Sus scrofa: one gene and its partners. The protein of the gene in region 3 purifies or fractionates together with the protein of the main gene of each other region. This does not show direct contact. Links are inferred from orthologs where the notes say so. Each region holds a gene or a part of one and is shown on either strand. Other genes may lie near its edges.

Region 1 (3,647 bases), on a different chromosome or scaffold from region 3:
CCCAGCTACAAAAGAGAAGGTACAACAGGTCAAGAGTGGTTCTTCTTCAAAGAGGCCTCCTCCAAGACAAACTCTTACAATTGCCCTAAGGGACAAGGATTGCTTTTCCTGTTTACAGATGAGCAGAAGGGTTAAGAAACTTGCTTAAGGCTGCATGGTTAGTAAGTGACCAGGCAGGGGTTGGACCTGATTTCCATCTGACTCCAACACTCAGCACAGGCCAATGAAATGACTACTCTGCTGGGGCAGCTCTAGGTCGGCAGCAAAGATTAACTGGCCTGTTAAGTCAGTTCCCTGACTGACCTGCAGTTAGGTCAGTCCCCACAGCCTCCTCCTGGCTGGGTGTGTCCAATCTCAGCAGGCATCACCCCTCCCAAGGGCTATGTCCGTTAGTCTGACTCCTCCAGACCAGGACAAGGACTGTATCCTGTTTAGTTTTTTGTTCCCAGAGCTGGCTACTGGACAAGTGTCCACGCTGATCCTCCTGCCCTGAAGCTGTGCTTCCATCAGAGTCTAACACCCCTGGCACAACTATGTGAATCAACACTGGGCCCTGGGGCCAGAGTGGGTGCAGAGGATAAGAGTGATACCATGTTGCTTGTTGAATCTACTTCTGATAAAACTTCTTTTCTCTAGTGAAAAGTCTAGGAACAGGGATCAAGAAGCTTTAAAAGCACTAACCCCGGAGTTCCCGTGGTGGCGCAGTGGTTAACGAATCTGACTAGGAACCATGAGGTTGCGGGTTCGATCCCTGCCCTTGCTCAGTGGGTTAACGATCCGGCATTGCCGTGAGCTGTGGTGTAGGTTGCAGATGCGGCCCGGATCCAGCGTTGCTGTGGCTCTGGCGTAGGCCAGTGGCTAAAGCTCCGATTAGACCCCCAGCCTGGGAACCTCCATATGCCGCGGGAGTGGCCCAAGAAATAGCAAAAAAGACAAAAAAATAAAAATTTTAAAAAATAAATAAATTAAAAAATTAAAAAAAAAAAAAAAGCACTAACCCCTTTCATGTTGTAATCCCATCTCTAGGACCCTCTCCTAAGGGAGGCATGAACACAGATTGGTATCCAAGGCTGTTTACCACAATAATGTTTACCAAAGTAAAAATATAGAACCTAAGAGTAGAATAATCTCATAAATTAGGTAATATCAATCCTGTTTTAAAAAATCAAGTAAAATTCTAGAATTCTCTTTTGGCACAGTGGGTTAAGGATTAGGCATTGTCACTGCTGTAGCTTGGGTTGCTGCTGTGAAGTGAGTTCAGTCCCTGGCCTGGGAACGTCCATACGCTGTGGGCACAGACAAAAATAAAATAAAAAATCAAGTGAACTGTTTTAGTATTTGGGAAACACACACACAGGGGAAAACAATAGGTCTCAAGAACTTGACAAGACCATGTACCAAAAGGCTAAAAGTTATGAACACAGGATGGTGGGATTAGGGGTACTTCCAATTTTCTTTTCTGCATTTTTCTGCACTTTCAAATCCTCTTATGGTAAACATATACTGCCTTTACCCCCTATAATTTTATACTAATACTAATAAAACTGTAATTTGAAAAAAAGAAAAAGTATTCAAACATGGAGCCAACTTGAATAGCCAAATAGCCAAAGTGGAACCGTTCAAGCAATAAAATAAATGATAGTACTAGATTATGAATGAAAGAATAAAATAAATATTCAGGAGTTCATACTCATATAAATACAAGGTTGAGTGAATAAATAAATGGGGTCTCTGAAAACCGAGTCCAATCTTATCACCCGGGTCGAAACCTTCTGAACTGTCTACCATGTAATCGAGTGTGGTCCAGAGTCCTTGGCTTGGGCCCTGTTGCCTATGGCACGTGGAGGCTCCCAGGCCAGGGATAACCCACACCACAGCAGCAACCTGCACCACATCATCAACCCGAACCACAGCAGTGACAATGCCAGATCTTTAACTTTCTGTGCCATGAGAGAACTCCCCAAGTCCCTCTTTAAAAAATTACTTTTATATTAAAAAACAAACAAACAAAACAACAGCAATCTCAAACTCCGTTAAGCAAAGATGCTCCTAAGTCATGGGACTGTCATGGAGTCAAGAACTAAACACTGTCTGAGGGGGGTGATGAGGGTTCCTGGGGATAACAAGATGGATGCTGGGCCCATCCCCACCTCAGGCCTGAGTGGTGCTCACCCACCTGGAACCACCCCGTTGGTGGCGATGGCGCTCATGGAGATGGCTGTCAGCAAGGTCTGTGGGAAGGAGAGCAGAGATGAGCAGCTCAGCTGGGCCAGCGCTGTGGGGTGGCCACAGCCCTGTCCCAGCTGGGATACTCACACAGCAGCAGCAGATGAGCACAATGAGGAGGGCCTGCAGCACCCCAGCCGTGCCCACCATCCAGGTCAGCCGCAGGAAGAGGATGACCCCAAAGATATTCTGCAGGCAGGGCAGGTACACCCCCATGAGGGTGCCCATGCTGGGCGCCTATGGAGCGAGTGAGGAGGGGAGCGGGGAGACACAGAGCGTCAGAGGGGCCCAGAGGCCCCATGGAAGGTTGGCCCCCAGTCACTCAGCAGTCCCCTACCCCCAGGGCCTTCTACCAGAGAACAGGATGGAGAGGGACATCCCAAGTGTAGTCCTGGGGAGCATGGGGTGGGGATGTGACAGGATATCTGTGTTGACTTTTTTTTTTCCAGCCACACCAGCGACATGTGGAAGTTCCTGGGCTGGGGACTGAACCTGCACCACAGCAGCAACCAGAGCCAATGTAATGACAATGCTGGATTCTTAACTCATTCTGCCACAACTGAACTCCCTGTGCTGACTTTGATACATGAAGAAACAGCTCAGGACTGGGAAGGTACAAAACCTAATCCTTTTTTTTTTTTTTTTTTTTTTTTGCTTTTTAGGACTGCATCTGCATCATATGGAGGTTCCCAGGCTAGGGGTCCAATCAGCCACACCACAGCCACAGCAACGCACCCTCCCCTTCCTCTCCTTTGTTAAACTTCTGGAAAGTAAGGTCTGTCTTATCCTCACCTTCTCATGCAGCAGCCCTGCATCGCCCAAACCAGAGTCCAAGAAGTTGTTCCTGATCCTCCCTCTCTCCAAGCCCCTATTCCAGTCCAGCAGACACTGAGTCCTGTCTAATCTGCCTCTCAAGCTGCCCTCAGATCCACCTGCGTTCCCTCAGCCTTGGTCCCTTGAACCTGGGCGTTACACCAGGGCACCTAGGTGGTGCCTTCTTGTGTCTGTCAATCCTTCCAAACCCCAGCCCACTCTACTGCCAGAGCAGGTCTCTGCCTTGGCTTGAGCCACCAGGCATGCCCCATTACCTTTGTCAGCCTCAGCCCCTGACAGCATCAGTCCCTCAAAGCTTCTGAACCAGGGCATGTGCTGGGCTCTGCCTCGAAGGGTGACTCCTGCTGCACTCCTGGCAAATTTCTCTTCAGTTAAACCTTCAGGAGACTTAACTGTTGACTTCACCAGGTTGCCTTAGGTGGAGTTGGTACTTCCTCCTGCATCTCCTTAGCACCTGATATACCCTCCATCATAGTGATCATGAACAGGTCATGGTAACTGTTCACTCGAATGGCTCATGACCACACTGGGGGTGACTTGGCTTGTTCACTCTTCTATCATCAGTGGGCCCTACAGGTACTCAAAAG
Region 2 (3,647 bases), on a different chromosome or scaffold from region 3:
ACCCCATTTAGTTTTAAAACATTGTAGGTTGGATTCCTTAATAACTAGCTGTTAAAGTATAGTGCTTATTATAGCTTGTCATTGTAGTTGATTTAATCTATATAATTATTGTTGATTAATAGATAATCATTTAATCAAATTTCCATGGAGTAAAGAGGAGAAATGTTGACATCACAGGCATATGGAGAACTTTGTTATCTAACTCAGCTAGGATTTAAATGTTTATATTGGAAAAATCTACTAAGTATAAAGCATTTTTCAACTCTGTGTTTGGGATGACTGTCATTTATCTTACTAACCCAAAGTCAGAGTAGGAAGCAGGCTGCTGGATTTTTTTTTTTTTTTCCTTGGTCTTTTTAGGGCCGAACCTGAGGCATATGGAGGTTCTCAGGCTAGGGGTCCAGTTGGAGCTGTGGCCACTGGCCTACATCATAGCCACAGCAATGCGGGATCCAAGCCACGTCTGCTGCAGCTCACAGCAACACCGGGTTCTTAATCCACTGAGCAAGGCCAGGGATCAGACCCACATTCTCATGGATAGTAGTCGGGTTCATTAAGTGCCAAGCCATGATGGGAACTCCAGGCTGCTGGATTCAGAGGACTTGCTAATGCCTTATCTGACTAAGACAGCATGAACTCTGATATTCTGTGGCCAGGTTGAAAGGAGCCTAGTTTAGTTCAGCACTGCCTTTGTCTTACTTTGGACAATGACTCAAGTGCCACTTTTCTCAGTGTACCTATTTTTTAAATGTTATTTTATCTGCCTTCAAGAAAAGGTCTGAGGTGAATATTTGATTCAATCACAAGTTTTCTTTTGATCTGTGCATGCTTGGTACCATGAATAATTGCTATAAATATTAGTAGACTGTTAGTATCACTGTGCTTAAAGATTATGTTATCGGTGTTCTTTATAAGGACTACAACTATCTGTAGGAGCCCATGTAGTTTTGCTTTTATGGTAAAGTTAAGCTATTAGGAATAATAAAGCTTTTCATTTGAGAATTTTATAAGGGAGTTCCTGCTGTGGTGCATTGGGTTAAGGATCTGACTGCAGCAGCTCAAGTCACCAAGGAGGCATGGGTCTGATACCTGGCCAGGGACAGTGGGTTAAAGGGGCCAGTGTTACCTGAGCTGCAGGGTAGGTGGCAGCTGTGGCTCGGCTTCAGTCCTTGGCCTGGGAACTTCCATATGCCATGGATGTAGTCCAAAAAAAAAAAAGTGTTTCATAAGTATTTGTGTAGCCCTGATTATGTATTATAATATGTGGGGCAAACAGTCTCATCAATAAATTTTCTTAAAATGTTTACCTATGAAATTTTTCTCATTTACTTTGTAACTTTCTGGTAGAGGGATCATTTTTATGCTTATGTACAGTGTCTTCATCATGTATTTCATTCGTATTTCTGGCTTTATAGGAAGAAATGGACACCAGGCCAAAAGTGTCTTCTCTCCTCAACCGGTTGGCCAATTATACTAACCTGACACAAGGAGCAAAAGAACATGAAGAGGCAGAGAACATCACTGAAGGGAAAAAGAAGGCCACCAAGGTGAGGCCTTAGAATAACAAAGATAAATAAAAGGAGCCCAATATTATAATAAAGGAGATATCCAGGCCATCACTCTATGTGCAAGAATGCTTGATATGTGCCAGGCCCGAGAGGTAGTGAGCCATGTAAAACAGTTGGGGGGCAGTGTTCCAGGGAGATGGAATATCACACCAGAAGAAAAGTATCTCACCCAGCATTGCCTCCTGGTGCAGTGGGTTAAGGATCCAGTGTTGTTACTGCTGTGGTACGGGTTTGGTCCCTGGCCCACGGACTTCCACATACTATGGGTACAGACAAAAAAATGAGAAAAGAAAATTGGCCATATCCATCCACTGACGCCATGTCTCTATGGTGAAGTTGTTGGGCTTTTTAAGACCAAATACCAGTTTCTCTCAACATGAAAATATGGGATAGTATTACAAGTTAGTTTTCTGGTTGTTCAGGAGTAAAGTGACACTCAGATCTTCATTTTTTATCAATTACATTTACCACCTGCTATGAAAGATTTATGCCAAATTCTAACAGAATTCCATCAAGTCATTATTCCATTTAAAAAAAAGAACAGAAAGAGCCATTGGCTTTGAAGAGAAAAAATTTTAAATTATTGAAGATGCACTTAAAAGTTTGTTTGTGGCACAGTTGGATCAGTGGCGTCTTGGGAGTCCCGGGACACAGGCTTGATCCCTGGACTGGCACAGTGGATCAAGGATCCAGCATTGCTGCAGCTGCAGTTTGGATCTGATCCCTGGCCTGGGAACTCCATATGCAGTGGGGCAGCCAAAAAAAAGAAAAAAAAAAAGTTTGTGATCAAATGTCTGTGTAAAAATATGTGGAGACTTATGTAAAATAAAAATGTGTGTCTGGAGTTCCCGTCGTGGCGCAGGGGTTAATGAATCTGACTAGGAACCATGAGGTTGCTGGTTCGGTCCCTGCCCATGCTCAGTGGGTTAACGATCTGGCGTTGCCGTGAGCTGTGGTGTAGGTTGCAGACACGGCTCGGATCCCACATTGCTGTGGCTCTGGCGTAGGCCAGTGGCTACAGCTTTGATTCGACCCCTAGCCTTGGAACCTCCATATGCCTCGGGAGCGGCCCAAGAAATAGCAAAAAGACAAAAAAAAAAAAAAAATGTGTGTCTCTAGGAATAATAAAGGGTATAGTGATAGAAATTTGTTAAGATGGAGATTTTATATGTGCCTGTTTAAAGATAGTGCTTAAATTTATCTCTACTTTGCAATTCATATGCAGTTCATAGTTAGGGTGCAAGTTTTTATATAAAAATAAAGGGATAAAAGCATCACTTCTAGATGATGACTATATGATTTTTTCTTTCATCAACATCTTTCTTTCTAGACCCCCCAAATGGGTACCTTCATGGGTGTCTACCTCCCATGTCTACAGAATATTTTTGGAGTGATCCTGTTTCTACGCCTTACATGGGTGGTGGGCACAGCTGGAGTTCTGCAGGCCTTTGCAATTGTCCTTATCTGCTGCTGCTGTGTAAGTCCCAAGTTGGCTCCTGGAGATCACCTGGAACACTGCTCAAGCTCGAGTATCATGCTTGGCCTCTTTGAGAATAAAACAAAGAATACATACTGGGGAAGGACTTGCCATCTCAACAGGAGAGATTATTTTGATATTAAAATCTAAAGGATCTTCAATTACTTAGTGTCAGTTATTTACTGTTTATAATATGATATACTTGAAATTACAAAGAAGGACTTCTATAAGAAGGAGAAGATACAGGTTCTGACTTCCAAAAATTCAGATACAAACTATTTGAGCTTGATAATACCAATGTTGTGACAGAAAATGTGTTAGAAAACATGATATGCTTACTCCAGTATAGTGAAGATTAACAAAACTGATTGTTGTTTGGAAATGAGAGGTATTTGTTTTGTTTTGAAGTCTCATCCATTGTCCTTTCCCCAGAAATTTGGGTATTGTTTCCAGATCTTCTCTTCACTACACTGAGAACATTCTGAACTTCCTTTAATTTAAACTTCTCTTATCTGTGTATCCCAGCCACATCTCTCAATTTTATTGTAAGTTGATTATTATAAATTTTTTAATTTCATTATTCAGCTGTCTACTGACCTTTT
Region 3 (4,379 bases):
CCACCAGACTCAGGGATGCACAGTCCCCTACCTAACTCAGGGACCCAACCCACTAATGACACAACAAAGTGGGAGGAGACTTTTCAGGACCCTAGGGTTCCCTGCCAGAAGGAACCAGAGTGGCTAATAGCCAGTCTCACTGATAGCAGTGCCTTTTCCCTAATGACCATGTTCAAGGGCCCAGAAACCATGCTCTCAACCAACAAGCCTGGCATCCCCACCAGGTCACCCAGCCCAGCCACAAGCCTGGCCCGATAACGACAACCCTCACCCCTCTTCAGAAAGCTCCCCAAAGCTTGGCTTCCTCAATTCAAGGTCACCTTATTTCCCAATGACATTTTAGTGACTGGGAACAGGAGACAGGGGTTTCAGTCCCTGAAGTTTTCACAACTCACCATAGGACCCTGGGTCCACAGCCCATTCCTGGGGTCAAACATCCCATATAAACATGCTGGGAGGTGTGGCTCATGCTCTGAAGCCTTCAGCTCTCATTTCTGTGATTTTTAGGTGCAAAGGGGGTTTGTAGTGCTCAGAAGGGGTCTCAGCCCATCAGGGATTCTTCCTTCAAACACACCAGAGACATTGTTCTCATCAACTGAAGCATGTTCTTGGAATAAACGAGTGTTTGTTGAGAATCTCCCACAGTCCAGAGGCATTAGGGAAACATGAACGGGTAAGAGAACTACCCTCAGGCAACCATCTTACAGAGACATATCTAAGATTCAGAGAGACCTGGAAATTCGCTCATGGGAACACAGCTAAGAATTCAACTCCCAGGGCTCCAGGCCCAGTAAAACTAAATTGGATGCGAAGACCACCCTTCCCCGCAAATCCCTTTAGACACAAAGAAAAGTTAGAAACTGGAATCTACTGTAAAGATCAGAAACACAGAGTCCAGGACACAGAGCTGGCTGGTTGAGTTGAGATTGTTCTGAAATGCCCAGCCTGGCCCCCAAATCCATGTCAGAGCTTGACCACTTTCTTACACCCTTCTCTGATCATCCCTCCATTCCGAGTAATGAGCAGCACCAGGCAGGAGACTGCCATGTGACCTCAACAACCCTCATGTTCACCCATCACAGTAGCGCTGTTCCCAGAGCCCACCAGGTCCTCCCAAGGTTGTGTGTGTCTTGGCCCATTGTGCTGACAGGCATCAAACCAGGTGAACGCGACTGGTAGAGCTGGGGGTTCTGCCCCCAGGACAGCTTCTCCCAGAGCAGAGCTGGTCAGGGCCCAGTTTGTTTCCCTGCAGCTCCAGGTGAAAGGCCTTTGCAGGGATGCTCTAAGAACCACTCCTTCTACAAGTGTCAGAGGCTCCAGGCTCCTCAATCAGATCTTCCCACCTTGGGACTAACCTGGGTTTCAGAGATGCTCTCCCCTGGGAGGCTACTGGGCAGCACGGAAGCTGTTTGTCTCCCCCTCCCCCAGCCCCTGGCCCGCTGCCACGGTGACCTCCCCTCCCCCAAGAAGGGCGGTGAGCTGGGAGGTGGGGGTGGGAAGGAGCCGCCACCAACGCTCTGGGGAGGGGTGCTGGGAAGCCAGGCAGGGCGTGTCGTCTGGTCCTTTCTTTGCCCGGCACTGGGCTTCACAGCTCTAGGTGAGAGGCGCCCCCCTTACCATCCGGCAAATCTGCCTCGCACTGGGGACCCTTGCTGTCATCGCCCAAATCCCTGAGCCCCAAAGGGTCTAACACACACTGGCGAAGGGCAGCGGGTCTAGAACCTTCTGTGCCCAGTCGGACGTAAGCCAGGGGAGGTAGGCGCCCTGTTCCCCCACCACCTGCATCCGCTCTTTCCAGAAGAGACAGTATCCGTCTTTCCCCTGCAGCGGTCTGCCCCCGGGCCTGGACGTGCCCGTAATTACCGTTGCAGGGCAAAGGCCTCAGGGAACCCCTCTGGTGCCGCGGGGTGGGGAGAGGGCAGACGCCAGCCCAGTCTCGTTCTCCAAAGAGGGGCGCCCGTCCTCCCCGCGCCCCTCGCCGGCGCCCCGCCACCTGCGCCGTCGCCCGCAGCCGGTGCCGCAGTGCGAGCGAGCCAGCGAGCCCGGAGCCTTCACGCCTCGGCCGGCGCCGCCGAGCGAGCCGCCGCCCTCCCGCCTCCCCGCCGCGCCGCACCTGCATCCGCACCCCAAGCCCCCACCTCAGATCCCATCCTCGCCCCCATCTCTGGCCCAGCGCCTCCTCGGTCCTTACCCTAGTTCCCTCCTCTGCCCGGCCCCACCCGAGCCGGCCAGGACTTCCCCATCCCCATCCCTTGCCTCCACCCCGGCATGGAGGGCCCTTTCCCAGCCGGGGCCGGGGTCCCAGTAGGGTGGATGATTTGGCGGCGGGGGTCGACTGGGCGCCAAGCCAAGAGAATAAGCAGGGCACTTACCGCTCTGCTCCCCTAGGAACACCAACTTGAATTTTCTCAGTGGGTTCCCAAAATCTCCCCCTGCGGACATGGTGCTGGCAGTCTGGGCTAGGAGAGGAAGAGGAGGAGAAGCGAAGGAGCAGGGAGGGGAGAGGAGGAGGGCGAGGGGAGGCGGCCGGCGGTGCGGGAGCCGGAGGGGGAAGGGCTGGCTGCGCGCGTCCCTGTCTCCCCAGCTGCGTCCCGGCCCCGGCCTGCGGCTGCGTGTCCGGCGGCGGAGGAGGAGGAGGAGGAGAAAAAGGAGGAGGAGGAAGAAGGCTGGGGCTGGGCTGCCGCGGGCGGCGCTTGATGCGGTGCGAGGGGCGCGCTCTGGACGCCCGAGGCGCTGCGCGGACAGCGAGGCGCAGGCGGAGCCGGGGCGCAGGGAAGGCGCGCGGGGCGGAGGAGCGCTCTCCCGAGCCGCACCAGTCGGCTCCCCCTCCCGCCTCTCTCCTCTGTCCGCGCCTGCGCTCTGCGCGCTCCCCAGCCTCTGATGTCATGCGGGGCTCGCGGCGCTGCGGGGCTGGGGGGCCTCCGCCCACCCACCTACCCGGAACCGTCACCCGGGCGTGAGAGAACCGCCTCGCAGTGAGTCCGTGAGGCCCCCGAAATGGGCCCTCTCTGGTTGCCCCACTACGTTTGTCTTCCCTACTCTACCGCTCCTTTGAATCCAGAAAATGACGTGAAATTGTCAAGGGACATTTGTTTCTGGTCTTTTAAACCTAGATGCTAGTCCCTTCTTCCACCTCCTGCGACACCGATGCACTCAGCGCAGCCATCGAGAGGGCGAAAGAAAGGGAGTAGGGGGTGAGCCAGGGTGTGGTGGGCCATGTGGGCGCAGACGGGCTTTACTGTCATCTTGTGCATCTCCGGCCCTCCCTCCCCTCCCTAGGGCCAGATCCCTCCTCTTGGGGGCCTCTGTGGGGTCACGGGTGTTCGGGCAGACGTGGCCCGCGAAAGAGTAGACGCCAGTAAAGAGCGCACCTACCTCAAACCTACCGCTCCTAAAGATCATTTTTTCCTAAACCTGCTGCCACGTAGTAGAGAAAGAGCAGCGAGGCTCTGAATGTCAGGACGGCCATCTCCAGGACGATGCCCTGGTTCCCTTGGACCTTGGAGTCACCGGGCTGTCAATGCCACTCCTTGCTCTGGCAACGAAGTGTATCAGGACAATGATTTCCAGGAGGACAGGAGGAAGACCTGTCCAGATCATTTGTTTCTGATGAGTGGGTGACAACTAGGAGTGGATGCCAGGAGTTAGAAGCACCCCCAGCCCCGTCCTAGTATTCTGGTTAGTTGAGATTTTACAAAGCTGCCTCTTACTGCCCTGCCACCACGTGGTCTATTCTTTTAGGTCTGTTCAATGAACATTTATTTGGAATTATAATCCAAATATTTGGGAACAAGGTGCGTGTGTGTGTGTTTTACACATAGAGAAAATTGAGAAGCAGTCTTCATCTCTAGAGATTTCCAGGGGATATTTGTTGCCCTTTTTTTGACTTACATGGCTTGCCTGGGATGTCTCCCTGTCTGGATCCCTGGTTTGTTTACCCAGAGTCTCTCTTTCACTGTTTATTAAAAACCATGAGTTTCATGGTTATTAAAACTTAATTAACAATATTGAGTTCCATGATAGTAGCAGTTGTGGCTCGACTACTGAATCCCAAGGACCTAGCATGTTGAATGTTTGAATGAATGTCAAGAATCCAAATCAGAACAACTGTTTCACTTAAGAAGATATTGTCTTTTCTCCATTGTGTAATTTTGCCTACTTTGTCATAGATTAATTGATCATAAGTGTATGGGTTTATTTCTAGGCTCTCTATTCTGTTCCATTGATCTATGTGTTTGTTTCTGTGGCAGGACCATACTGCTCTGATTACTCTAACTTTGAGATATAGTCTGAAGTCAAGGAGTATGATTTCTACAGCTCTGTTCTTCTTTCTCAAGACTGTTTTGGCTATTTAGGGTTTTTTGTGTTTCCATACAAAT

Evidence for each region.
Region 1: the proteins of RAB6B (region 3) and SLC12A4 purify together in Homo sapiens (co-immunoprecipitation; 3 studies listed by BioGRID and IntAct, with this or other methods). This does not show direct contact. The link is inferred for Sus scrofa from reciprocal best matches to the Homo sapiens genes RAB6B and SLC12A4.
Region 2: the proteins of RAB6B (region 3) and SLC12A6 purify together in Homo sapiens (affinity purification with mass spectrometry; 4 studies listed by BioGRID and IntAct, with this or other methods). This does not show direct contact. The link is inferred for Sus scrofa from reciprocal best matches to the Homo sapiens genes RAB6B and SLC12A6.

The regions. Positions count from the first base shown.
Region 1 is NC_010448.4:28,562,894-28,566,540, forward strand, and holds part of SLC12A4 (solute carrier family 12 member 4), read right to left. Parts: intron 2,464-3,647; coding exon 2,317-2,463; intron 2,232-2,316; coding exon 2,177-2,231; intron 6-2,176; coding exon 1-5. UniProt on the Homo sapiens protein: Mediates electroneutral potassium-chloride cotransport when activated by cell swelling. May contribute to cell volume homeostasis in single cells. May be involved in the regulation of basolateral Cl(-) exit in NaCl absorbing epithelia.
Region 2 is NC_010449.5:80,237,727-80,241,373, forward strand, and holds part of SLC12A6 (solute carrier family 12 member 6), read left to right. Parts: intron 1-1,415; coding exon 1,416-1,547; intron 1,548-2,898; coding exon 2,899-3,045; intron 3,046-3,647.
Region 3 is NC_010455.5:75,072,444-75,076,822, forward strand, and holds the start of RAB6B (ras-related protein Rab-6B), read right to left. Parts: upstream 2,882-4,379; 5' UTR 2,443-2,881; coding exon 2,373-2,442; intron 1-2,372. UniProt on the Homo sapiens protein: The small GTPases Rab are key regulators of intracellular membrane trafficking, from the formation of transport vesicles to their fusion with membranes. Rabs cycle between active GTP-bound and inactive GDP-bound states.